Canis lupus familiaris: one gene and its partners. The protein of the gene in region 1 interacts with the protein of each later gene in a pairwise test. Links are inferred from orthologs where the notes say so. Each region holds a gene or a part of one and is shown in the gene's direction. Other genes may lie near its edges.

Region 1 (4,291 bases):
TCGCAATTAATGACACTGTATAAAGGGAAATTTCTGGAGACAACGACACTATCATTGGTGCACAGGGCTGTGTGGGGAGGAAGCAATAGGCAGAGAAGTGAAATCCTCTGTCTAATACTATCCTGATGGATACACATCATCATACATGAGTTTAAACCCATAAAAATAAATACCAGGTGTGAAGATTAACGGGTTCTATGGGCTCTGTGTGATGTGGATGAATCGAGGGCCTTCATCAGTGATGAGCAGCGTGTGGCTGTGGTGGGGTGTTGGTATGAGGGAAACTATGTAGGAGCGTGGAAGCGGCTAAGTGGGAAATCTGTGTATAGTGCTGTCTGTTTCCCTGGACCTAAGTGTGCTCTACAAAATGGCAAGTCTTTCAAAACACACATAATATGAACAGCAGTATCAGAACAACACAGAAGAAAGCCCCCCGGGGGGGGGGGGCCCTTAAGAGTGTGGGTGGATTCTGGTATCTGGGGTGGGGATGTAGGGGCAGCAGGGATGTGGGGAGAGAATGTAGGCTGCAGAGATGCAGAGGAAAGCAGGGGGATTCGGAACGACTTTCACCTTCTGCCCCTACTTCCTGGCACAAACCTGATGCATGACCTGGCAGGACACATGCCAGTAGCCCTGGGCAAGTATCAGGACAGCAGAGAACACGGCATTGTTTGAGGCAGATGCTTCTGGATTCTGGCATTAGCTATCTAAAATCACCTTACAGGGATCCCTGGGTGGCGCAGCGGTTTGGCGCCTGCCTTTGGCCCAGGGCGCGATCCTGGAGACCCGGGATCGAGTCCCACGTCGGGCTCCCGGTGCATGAAGCCTGCTCCTCCCTCTGCCTGTGTCTCTGCCTCTCTCTCTCTGTGTGACTATCATAAATAAATAAATAAATAAAAATTTATAAAAAATAAAATAAAAAAAATTCACCTTACAATGGGAAGATGTCCTTTTCAAAACTTATTAGAAGAGGATATAAAGACTAGAGCGGGAATAGAATAGTGGGTATTGACAAGTAGTATGAGAAGTTAGTCTTTCCTAAAGGCAGTATATACACAGGCCACACAGATATAAATAGGCCTGTAAGCATGCCAGCACTCATACCCGTGCACAGGACACACGCTAGGTAGAGAGGGACGGTGTGTTTCTCCCGATGACGCAGCATGTCAGGGGAAAACTCCCTGCAGTGGGCCCCGCAATACGGGACACCCCTAGACACCCTTGCAGCTGCTCGGCCGCCCCCAGGAAACTAAACCTTTAACACGATGTCCCTAAAGTCTGGCTGCTGGCCAAGGGACCCCGTGGGAAGGGGCGCTTCCTCCCGGCCCCTGCCCCTGCCCTGCCCCGGGGCTATGGGCGCTGCGGCTGCACAGCAGGCCTGTGTCCTGATGAGGGCCTCCTGGGTGAGGACTGAGAGCCGACCTGTGCCAGGACGCTGGGGGCCGCCGAACCCTGCTGTGCCCCTGCCGGCAGCCCTGGGCCACCCCGGGACCTGCAGAGCCGGTGGGGCCCGAGCCGCAGCAACCACCCCTCGGGCGCTCAGGGACGACACGTCGGGGCCTGAGAGGCTCGGTGTAAGGGGCACCGACTGAGGTCTGCAGAGAGCCGAGGCCGCAGCCCGCCCGAGTCCGGGGAGGGAGGACCCGCGAGAGGACCCAGGGAGCCTCCCACAGGTGTCCTCCTACCCCCGCCACGCAGAGCCCATCTCCCGCGGACGTGCAACCAGCCCTTAGGGACCCCTGGCACGGGGTCCGGATGTGACGTGGGCCGACTTCCGCCTCGGAGGTCTGAGGGAGCGGAGGGCCTCGTGTGGGGGGCGCATTGGGGTCCCCTGGAAGGAGGCCAGGCCCGGGCCGGCGGCAGCCGGGCAGCAGGTAGCCCCGGGAGGGGGCTCCGAGGGCGGGGGAGGGGCCCCGGAGGGCGGCGGGGGGTGGGGGGGCCCTTTCTGAACCCTGAGAGACCACGCGGGGGAAGGCGGGAACGCGACGTCGAGCTGAGGCCTCGATGCCGGGGCCTGGGGCAGTGGCCTGAGAGGGGCAGGGACACAGGGAGTGCCGGTGGGGACGCGGTGACACGGCGGGGACCCAGGAGCCCAGGACAGAGGGGACCCGGCGGAGGTCAGGGCCCACGGTGAGCCCGGGAAGGCCACGAAGGAGCGGGATGAGGCCAGATGGTGGCGGCGGGTGAGGCAGGCCTGGCACATCCGGGTACCCGAGAGCCTGAGGCCTTGTGTGGCGGGAGCAGACGCTGAGGGCGGAGGGGAGGGTCCCGGGGCTAAGGGGAGGCGAGGGATGGACCCTGAGGGGGACAGAGGGGACCCGGCGGAGGGTAACAAGGGCTGTGAGGCCCCCTGGGATGGGGACTTGCCCTCACGTGGGAGTATTGGTGCTCAGACTTCCACATCCGGGCCTCCCGAGACAATGGGGGCCCCTGGCGTCAGGAGCAGGGCCTAGAACACGTGGGCAGAGGGGGGCCCCCGGTGCTGCTGGGAATCCCAGTGAGGATGTGGATGAGGCCCGGGGGACCCCACACCCCAGCCCAGAGTTAGTCCGGGGAAGGTCGTGGGAGGGGGGATGGGAACACGTGGTGAGGCCCCACTTCCGCATCGGGGTCTCTGAGAGACTAGGTGTTAGGAGCAGCTCTTAGGTGGTCAGACGCGATGGCTGAGGAGCTAAGGGAAGGCAAGATATGAATCCTGAGGGAGGACAGAGGGGACCCGGCGGAGGTCAGGGCCCACGGTCAACCCGCGAAGGCCACGGAGGAGCGGGATGGGGCCGGATGGTGGCGGCAGGTGCGGCAGGCCTGGCACATCCGGGTACGCGAGAGCCTGAGGCCTGGTGTGCCGGGAGCAGACGCTGAGGGGGGCGGAGGGAGGGTCCAGGGGCTAAGGGGAGGCGAGGGATGGACCATTGACAGGGACAAAGAGAACCCTGTCGGAGGGTCATAAGGGCCCCCTGGGATGGGGACTTGCCCTCACTCACATGGGAGTATGGGTGCTCAGACTTCCACATCCGGGCCTCCTGAGGCACTGGGGGCCCCTGGCGTCAGGAGCAGGGCCTAGGACACGTGGGCAGAGGGGAGGGCCCCGGGTGCTGCTGGGATTCCCAGTGAGGATGCGAAAAGAGGCCCGGGGGACCCCGCACCCCAGCCCAGAGTCGGTCCCGGGAAGGCCGTGGAGGAGCGGGACGGGGCCGGATGGTGGCGGCGGGTGAGGCAGGCCTGGCCCATCCGGGAACCCGAGAGCCTGAGGCCTGGAGTGGCGGGAGCAGACCCTGAGGGGGAGGTGAGGGTCCAAGGGCTAAGGGGAGGCGAGGGATGGACCCTGAGGGGGACAGAGGGGACCCGGCGGAGGTCAGGGCCCTCGGTCAGCCCGGGAAGGCCGCGGGGGAGCGGGACAGGGCCGGATGGTGGCGGCGGGTGAGGCAGGCCTGGCACATCCGGGAACCCGAGAGCCTGGGGCCTGGTGTGGCGGGAGCAGATGCTGAGGGCGGAGGGGAGGGCCCCGGCTGCTGGGATTCCCGGTGAGGATGCAGAAGAGGCCGAGGGTCCCCGCACCCCAGCCCAGAGTCAGTCCCGGGAAGGTCGTGGGGGCGGGGGGCGTGGGAATACGTGGTGAGGCCCCACTTCCGCATCCGGGTCTCTGAGACACAGGCCTAAGGCGCGTGCCTCCGTCAGGTGGGCAGAGAGGAGGCCCTGCAGTCACCTGGCAAAGGTTCGAACCCTCAGGGAGAAAAGAGGAGTGCTCTAGGTGGTGGGGTCCTAGTGTGAGTCCAGGAAGGCCCTTGGGGGGTGGGAGTACGGGCCGAGTCCGGTCGTCGGCATCTGGGTCTCCGGGAGTCAGGAGGCCTTGGCGTCGGAACAGGGCCTCCCTCAGGTGGGCAGGGGGAGTGCCCAGGTCCTGCTGGGATTCCCCATGAGGTTGCAGAGGGAGGACGGAGAAACACAGGACAGTCTGGGAAGGCCCCTCGCGGGCCGGGGAGGAGACGGGCATTTGGGGAGTCCAGACAGCCACATCCGGGTCTCAGAGCATGCAGAGGCCTGGTGTCAGGAGCAGGGCCTCAGGTGGGCAGAGGGGAGGGGCCAGGTCCTGCTGGGATGTTCAGTGAGGATGCAGAGGGAGGACCCAGGGACCCTGCACCCCAGCCCAGAGTCAGTCCCGGAAGGTACGTGAGGGGTGGGGGATGGGAACACGTGGTGAGGCCCAAATTCTGTATCTGGGTCTCAGAGCATCCAGAGGCCTGGTGTCAGGAGCAGGGCCTCAGATGGGCAGAGGGGAGGGCCCAGGCCCTTT
Region 2 (4,255 bases), on another chromosome or scaffold:
AAAAGTTCTGACCAGAGATTTAAACTCACATTGTAAATGTAAAACACTCAATCCTTTCTGAGCATTTCTCTGAATATGTAGTTAATCAATGAGAATAAAACCTTGGAACAATTTGTTTTGCTTTGTGGTGTGTTATCACTTGATGCTCTAACAGTCATGTTTTTCCTCTTATCAAGTAGGTTTTATCCTCTCCCTCTATTTATTCCAATAACCTAACCTCATTGCTTAAATTATTTCTTATCATGTTAGAGGAACTAACACAGACTTTCTCAAGAGTGGCTTGTGCATTAGCAATCTTCCTTTCTCTCTGCCTCTTCCTGATAAAATCAAGTTTCACAAGGTTCTTTCTCTGTAGTGTAACTGTGCCATTAGTACTCAGCTTTGCAGGGTTGAGTTTCTCTGCTGATAGACAGCTAATGCTTTTCTCCCCCACATCTTTATCCTTAAGAAACATTTTAGCAGTCGTCATACTCCTGGGAGATACCACCTGGCGTTGTTCCGAAGCTGATGCTGCAGCTGCCCTGTTGTTTCATGTGTCTGTGTGTGCGTTTCTCTCCTTTTAAGGCCAGAGCCACAAAATTCAGAGAACAGCGGAACTGTCAATTACTATTACTTAATAAATTAAAGTGACTGTTAAAACTTTCCACCAAGTGATAAAAACCGAGCTGTGCCCCCTCGGTGGATGGAATCAGGAGGTCCATCCAGAGGGTCATTGGTCCAGGTGTCAGAAAACATACAGGCCACCCTGTATTTTCACATATCAACAATGAGTATTTTTTTTTCTATTAAGTGTATGTCTCGTGTGATATTCGGGACATTAAAAAAAAGTCATTGTTTATTTGAAAATGAAATTTAACTGGACATCCTGTACTTTTATTTGCTAAATCTGGCAACTCTCTTCGCCATTTATCTACCAAACAAACTACAAATAGCCTTCTGTATTTTGGTAAAATTCCGCATCCGGTGGGGTTTAGGTCAGAAGGGCTCCCCTTGGGGCCGATAAAGGTCTCAAAGTTTTGATGATGTGACACCGACGCTACGCAAAAAAAATAATTGTGAGTAACGGAAAGTTTTGTAATTCACAGAGGCTGATTTGCAAGCCTAGCTCCAAAGAGCGCAGGAGGAGATGAAAAGACGTCCCGGCCTGGCGGGCCTCGGGTTTCGGGGACCCCCGGCGACCCCGGGCATCCGCGGAGAAAGGAGCAGCTCGGCCGGGGCGGCCTTCCCGGGGAGCGCCTGAGCTCCGGGAGCCCAGGCTTCGCCCCACCCACCGAGCCGGCCAATAGGAGCCGAGCAGAAGGGGGCTGGGCGCGCGCAGCCAATCAGAGATGAGATGGGTGGGACTAGACGGCGGGAAGGAGCGCGATTTGGCCGCTTGGGCTCCGAGGGGCGGGGCCCAGCCAATCGGGACCGAGCGGGGCGGGGCTGGAGTCCGGGAAGGGGCGGTCGCCGGGGGGTCCCGCGCGGGGCCGGCGCGTGTTGAGCCTCACCTGCGCCTGCACCTGCGCCTGCACCTGCGCCTGCACCTGCCCTGCACCTGCGCCTGCACCTGCCCTGCACCTGCAGCTCCGCCCTTCTCGCGAGAGGGCGGCGGGGGTCGCCGGCTCGGCTCGTCATGGCCTACCCGGGGTACGGCGGCGCGGTGAGTGCCGGCTGCCGGCTGCGCGGCCCGCCGTGTGCGCCGCCTCGCGGGGCGGGCGCGGGGCCTCCTCGGACGGCGCGCAGCGCGGGGTCGGGGCCCGGGGCCGCTGAGCCGCTGGGCGAGGCCTTGCGGAGCCCGCGGTGGCCGCGACTTCGGCAGTTTCCTTCCTGGACTGGAGGAACAAAGGTGCCCTCTGCTAGTTCCAGTGATACTTTGTGGTCGACCCTCACTTCCTCAGCTTCTCTGGACGTCCTCTTTCTGAATTTTTGGCCGCTTCTCGTTTTCTGTCCTCTAATTTGCTGCAGAATAAATTAGGATGCGCATGTAGACATTTAGTCTCCTAATTTTTGCTCTCGTGCGCACCAAGGGCAACCTGTCGTAGACCTTATCGTAGGTCGGCGGGGTTAGGGCCACTCTTTATTACAGACCTGTTGATCCTGAATCACCTTGGAGAGTTGGAACTTGTGTGGTTTTATGCTCTTTTTATTTTTATTTTTATTTTTATTTTTTATTTTTTATTTTTTATTTTTTTATTTTTTTAATTAATTTATTTTTTTGGTTTTATGCTCTTTTTAAAAATTCCTGCAGTTGGCCTTTTCGGGTCCCTTGGGGTGGTCTTTTTTTCCTTCTTTTTAAAGAAGAAACTTTTAAGGAATCTCACCTATTTCTGTTTGCTTTTATAGTCCATTATATTGTTTTAACGTTTACTGTCTACTTTCCGGTACTTCGTTGCTTCATAATCTAGTTGTGCGTTTCCTGGAGTTTGAAGTCCATTTTCTGGAGCTGCAGCACCTCCTGCCTAACCTCGCCCTTGCACATCCAGCCACGCAGCTCTTCAAACTCCTGGTAGTATCCGACCTTTTGACTCTCTCTCCCCATCGACCCCCAGTTTAGAATTCTTTTTTTTTTCTTTTTGCCTTCTGGCAATCTCTGTTCATCCTTCAAGGATGCAGATCAAGAATTTTGTTCAATACGGAATAACAAACACTCTTGATACTTTTTTCTCCTCCAGACTCATAAAAATGCTCAGTAAAATGCCTTTCTAAGGTATTAAAAACGTATACCCAGTCCCAAAGTGAAAAACGTAGAGAGAAGCATAAACCACAGCAGGAAACAAACATCAGACTATCTACAGTTGAACCGTGGTCTCCTTTTTAGTAGGTGTTTGACCTTAACCGATTTAGGAAACCTCTTGAAGTTTCAGGTCCTCAGTGACAAAAAGGACATAGTAGTTTCATACCTCATACAGTTTTGGGGAAATCTCAGCACATAATGGGAAGTACTTGTACCTGGGCCATAAAACGCGCGCAGTAAGTATTAGCTGTGTATTATTTTTGTTGGTATTCTTACTAATTTTGAAGACTGTTGTTAGAATTAATCACTTTATTGATCTGTTTATTGGTGTCTTGCTTTTTTAAAATTAATTTTTTTTTCTGGTGGAGAAGATGTTTGCACTCTCTGGGGTTTCCCATGACTAGTTCACAATTTCGTTGTGTTTACCATGTATTATTCTAAGTATGTGCCTGGAGTAGTATACTACTTCTTAGTTTGACTGCAGGTGAAATTTTTTTTTGCATTTTTTTGTTTTTTGTTTATTTCAGTGATGATGATGGTAAACAGTTAAAAAATGTGCTTCGTGTTCCTCTGTTAGATTAAGTTGTTGGAGCCTAGAGAGTTCTTTTATTCTGTTTTACTTCTTTTGATGTTGAATGACACATTAATGAACTGAATTATGTCCTAATGCAGGACATGTAGGATTTTGTAGCTAATAGCATTTGGGATAGTGAATTTGGTTTCTTTTAATAATTCTTTCTATTCTTGCTTTTCAGTAGACTCCTCCTAAATATTTTCTTTTAAACCAACTTTAGTAGTTAACAAGTAATATGTGTACTAATAACTTTATCCTTTTTCACTCTTATAGTTTGGAAATTTTAGTGGTCAGATGCCAGGAATGCAGATGCAAATGGGACAGCCGTTGCCAGGAACAGGGCCAAACCTTCTCCCTGGTGGATACCCAGTGTATTCTGACAGTTATTCCTCAGCAGGAGACCCCATGTGGACATACTTCACTGCTGTTGCTGGACAGGTGAGATATTAAATATATTGCACAAATATCAGTTTCTGAAAGTGACTGCTATTTTTTTTAAAGATTTTATTTATTTATTCATTAAAGACACAGAAAGGCAGACACAGACAGAGGGAGAGGTCGGCTCCCCATGGGGAGCCTGATGTGGGGCTTGATCCCAGGACCTTGGAACCATGCCCTGAGCTAAAGGCAGACGCTCAATCGCTGAACTACCCAGGCGTCCCAGTGATTGCTATTTAAAAGAAATGTCAACTCTATTACTTAGTGTGTTATTTTATATGTATAAGAAATTTGTATTTTAAACTTATCTAGACTATTTTTTCAATTGAGATCAGAGACGAAGGTAGTCATAATTATTTCATTTTTAGAAGTCTGTTCCTATGATACCTGATGCATTGTTCATTTCACTTAGAGGGCAAACAGTGTAGTGCATGGCCACTGAGCCAAGAGGATTGAGGAAAAGAGATCTACATGTAACTCTCCTTGAGGAAGCTGAGACAGAGTAGCAAAAAGCAGACTTTTAAAAT
Region 3 (4,132 bases), about 42 Mb from region 1:
TTTTAATGAACGTTTTCATCCTAGGATTATATACAAAATAACATTTGTTATATACTATTTTCAATGGTTTCACGTCCTTTAATCTAGATATTTCATGTCTGTATTTAACAGGAAAAAGACACTTCAATATTTTTTCTGAATAGCTGACCAATGATCTCAGCACCATTCCTTCAGTAATCTAACCTCTCCCTGCTAATTCCAAGTATTTCAATCAGATTTCTAATATTTCTCCATATTTGGGATTGATAATGGCCTTCTCTACTATTTATTTGTTCTATATTTATTCTGCCATAATATTGTTTTTTTTTAAATTTTTATTTATTTATGATAGTCACACAGAGAGAGAGTGAGGCAGAGACACAGGCAGAGGGAGAAGCAGGCTCCATGCACCGGAAGCCCGACGTGGGATTCGATCCCGGGTCTCCAGCATCGCGCCCTGGGCCAAAGGCAGGCGCTAAACCACTGCGCCACCCAGGGATCCCTATTCTGCCATACTATTGTGTTAATATTATAGCTTCACAATACTCTGTATCTGTCAGCATAACTTTCCCAAATTATTATTCTGGATCGTTGGAAGACCTCAGTGCTGTTCTATTTTAGAGGCCATGGTAGAGTTTTGTAAAGTGAATTTGCAGTAATATAATTTAGGAGAGACCGTAAGTTTGTCACAGGCTCTCCAGATAGGAAAATCCACCAGCAAGACTCAGAGCCTCACCTCCTGGGAAGACCTCACAGAGACCCTTCACAAAGGCAACCATCAGCTTAGGTTTTTAATTTAAAGTCCTTAAAAGGGAGATGATGTCTGAAGGGTCTGTACTATTAGGGTGATTCTGCAGGAGAAGGAGGTTATCAAGACTTTACAACTCGAATCCTACTTTTCAACTGAAAATAATTGTATTGTCTAATTATAACAACCAAAAATGGAATGCATGCTAATGGGAAACAAAAAAATTAATCATCCTTTCCCTTAAAAAAATAAAATAAACGGAAATAAAGTAAAAAATAATTATGTCACTTTCTGTGTATTTTCCAGACTTCCTTCCATTGCTGTTAAGGGTAATTTTGGGTTTTATTTGCTGGGGAGTTGGACAGGAGAGAAGTGGGCAATTAAAGGTTTAAAAAAGAATTATTTCAAAGCTGCAGCAGAAATCAGGGGAAAGGCAAATATAAACTACAAAATATCATGATGCATTTGGTTTTAAAGACTTCTAAACAGGAAAAAAACATAGAGATGGGTTGTAGTGGGGAGAAGGCAGGGATGAAGAAAAAGGTGGCCCCGCCCACACTCCCGCCCCCACCCTCTTGCCGCAATGCAGGTGGGAACCATAATTGGGTATCTGAGCTCAGAGTGACGTGGCCCTTACGAGACCTGGAGCTGACGCGTGGGTTAGCGTCTCCTCCTAGTTGCAGTCTGGTTGTCCTTTGTGGCTGTGCGCCGGCACGCTATTGCCTTGAAGGCAGGCGAGCCTGTAGCACCGGGAAGGAGGAAGTCGTAGAAGCTGACCCTGATCGGTTGCAGGTTAGTGGGCGCTGACTGGGGTGGCAGAGGGCTAAGACCGGAGAGGGATTGGATTCTCTCGACCTTTTTACCCAATACCCATTTATATGGTGCAAGAAATGGACGGCTTGGTGGGAGGAGATCGAGAGGGGCCAAGAGTTGGAAATGGGTACCAGTTAGGATGTCCTAGGAGTGCAGATCTCTTGGGCGATCCGGCGTCTGGAAGGGAAGAGCCAGGGCAGGGGACAGCGAGGAAAAAGCCTGATTGTTGCAGGGCGACGGGACGGGGTTGCAACCATTGACCCTGGGGATGACGGACTCCGCCACGGGTCTAGGCCTCGGTTCCGGAATCGGTTCTCCACCTCCGTCCATTTTGGAGCGGGAAATGGTGGGCTGCGGCAAACGGGGGGGAGGGGGTGGAGATGATGGTTGCTGCAGAGGATATGGACAGGGATTAGGTCCGGGAAACACTTCCCTTCTGCGGAGGAGGTAATCGAGAGGAAGCTTTCTGACTCAGGGATCTGGTCGGGAGCAAGAAAGGTGTAAGCCTGGGCGCTGCCTGCGGACCCTGGGGTAAGCAAGACAAAGCGCTTAGACATCAGCGGGTCCAGGTTTGCAATACCCACGCTACCTCTTCGCTCTTCGTCCATTTTGATTCATAAAATGGTGGGCAGTGAAAGGAGGGTGAGTTCCAGAAAGTCTAATGGGCCCCAACTACATTGAAATTTTTTATAAATAAACCAGGTCACCATCCAGCAAGCTGTTTTGACTCCCCTGCCCAGCAAGTTGTCCATTTGCATTCAAGAAATGCTAATCAGGTGACGGGAGGGCTGAGGCGGAGGTAAAGGGGCCTAAAGAAGAGGTGAAACTGGTTGGAAATAATAATCTTTGATTACAATGCCTATTTCTGGAGGGCGGAGTAGTGCATTGCAGGACAGGAGAAGAAACCGTGATACAGGATGGAGGAAAAAGAGAAGGTGGCAACCTTTGATTAACGGATTCCTAAATCAGCAACAGAGCAGGTGCCCCCCAATACTGGTCCTTTAATCAAGTGAACAGTCCTGGCCATCGTCGCATTTTTGTCTGCAGGTCTCTGGGTCCGTTGGTGCAGCAGATTTCAAAGCAAAGAGAAAACGACTACTTCTGAGCCTGCAGGTAAGTGGCTGCTTGGGGTCCTCTGGTTTAGGGTTTATCGGGGATCATGACAGAATCTGGGAAACTCACTGCCCTTCCAGCCGGAGTTAAAGTGCAAGAGGTGCAAGGAGTGGCCTAAGGAAAAATTGATGGGGAAAATGGTGAGCTTTGGAGCTGGGCTGGGTCTGGGGCGTCCCCTAGAGGGTGCACGAAGTTTCTCAGATGAGAGAAAACCTTTTCTGACAGAGCTCTGACTCCTGTTGTTACAAAGTATTACATCCTTTTTCTTGCTTTTTATCTCCTAGGAAGAGTAAGCAGGAAAAAAATCTCAACATGGAAAATGTCCCCCAGGAAAGCAAAGGAGAGGAGCAGGCTCCAATGCAGAATGAAGAAGCCCACCCTTTGGAAGGTGGTGAAGGCCAGGAGCCTGGAGAAAATATTAGAGCCGATTGGGCCCCGCCTGCCCATGATGTGAGAGAGGATATGCCCAATAGGCTTGTCAATAACCTTGACATGATAGATGGAGATGCAGATGATATGGAACGGTTCATGGAGGAGATGAGAGAGCTAAGGAGGAAAATTAGGGAGCTTCAGTTGAGGTACAGTTTGCGCATTCTTATAGGGGATCCCCCTCACCATGACCATCATGATGAGTTTTGCCTTATGCCTTGAATGCTGAGGTTAGTAATAATAAACTCCCTGCCTCCCAAAGTTGCATTTTCTTTATGTACCCTTTACTGTGAATCTGTGATGTTCTGTAATTTTTCTGATTGGAGAATTCATTTGACTTAGTCTGAAAGTTTTTCTGTCAGCGGGGGAGTTTCACCAACTTGCATGGAAAGATGTTTAGTACATAGTGTGAAGGTAATAAAGCAGTTTAAAAACCAGTCTATAAATACACTATCTCATTTAAAAGCATGCATAATATATGTGTGTGTATCAGAATGTTTCTTCTTTAACTTTTCTTGATTACTTATTTTTTCTCATTTTTCCAAAATGAATACATATGTATTATACATGTCAGGCAAAAAGTAAGAGGCAAAGAACTTGCCAATTGACTTATAAAGGGAATGGAGACAATCATTAAATGCTTCAGACACAATTTAAAGACACATGAATCTTCTATTACCTCTTATAATATAATCTCTTACTTGGAAGCACGAACCTGGTCATTATTACAGATATGTTTCTTTATAGTCAGCCTATTAATCTATGAATGAAGATAACATGCACACTCTCTAGGTGCTCTTCATATTTAGAGAAGGGCCCAAAAAGTATGTCTATCATCAAGTCTAAATGCCAAGTGGGTGACACCTTTTTTTTTAAGATTGTATTTGTTTGAGAGAGAGTACAAACGGGGAGGGGCAGAGGGACAAGTAAGTAGACTCCCTGCTGAACAGGGAGCCCAGCATGGGGCTCCACCCCTGGAGCCTTAGCTGGTCAGACACCTGACTGAGCCACCTAGGCACCCCTGGGTGACACCTTTCTATACTTAGGCTT

Evidence for each region.
Region 2: the proteins of melanoma-associated antigen 10-like (region 1) and GCA interact in binary tests that used the Homo sapiens proteins (3 or more experiments, as listed by UniProt). The link is inferred for Canis lupus familiaris from reciprocal best matches to the Homo sapiens genes MAGEA8 and GCA.
Region 3: the proteins of melanoma-associated antigen 10-like (region 1) and BEX5 interact in binary tests that used the Homo sapiens proteins (3 or more experiments, as listed by UniProt). The link is inferred for Canis lupus familiaris from reciprocal best matches to the Homo sapiens genes MAGEA8 and BEX5.

The regions. Positions count from the first base shown.
Region 1 is NC_049260.1:118,690,647-118,694,937, forward strand, and holds the start of melanoma-associated antigen 10-like, read left to right. Parts: upstream 1-1,483; 5' UTR 1,484-1,874; intron 1,875-2,075; exon of another isoform or gene 2,076-2,130; intron 2,131-2,440; exon of another isoform or gene 2,441-2,815; intron 2,816-2,928; exon of another isoform or gene 2,929-3,283; intron 3,284-3,560; exon of another isoform or gene 3,561-3,712; intron 3,713-4,216; exon of another isoform or gene 4,217-4,291. UniProt on the Homo sapiens protein: Not known, though may play a role in embryonal development and tumor transformation or aspects of tumor progression.
Region 2 is NC_049257.1:8,046,341-8,050,595, forward strand, and holds the start of GCA (grancalcin), read left to right. Parts: upstream 1-1,449; 5' UTR 1,450-1,615; coding exon 1,616-1,642; intron 1,643-2,169; exon of another isoform or gene 2,170-2,952; intron 2,953-3,563; coding exon 3,564-3,728; intron 3,729-4,255. UniProt on the Homo sapiens protein: Calcium-binding protein that may play a role in the adhesion of neutrophils to fibronectin. May play a role in the formation of focal adhesions.
Region 3 is NC_049260.1:76,328,641-76,332,772, reverse strand, and holds the start of BEX5 (protein BEX5), read left to right. Parts: upstream 1-1,326; 5' UTR 1,327-1,519; intron 1,520-1,955; exon of another isoform or gene 1,956-2,071; intron 2,072-2,587; 5' UTR 2,588-2,653; intron 2,654-2,937; 5' UTR 2,938-2,965; coding exon 2,966-3,304; 3' UTR 3,305-4,132.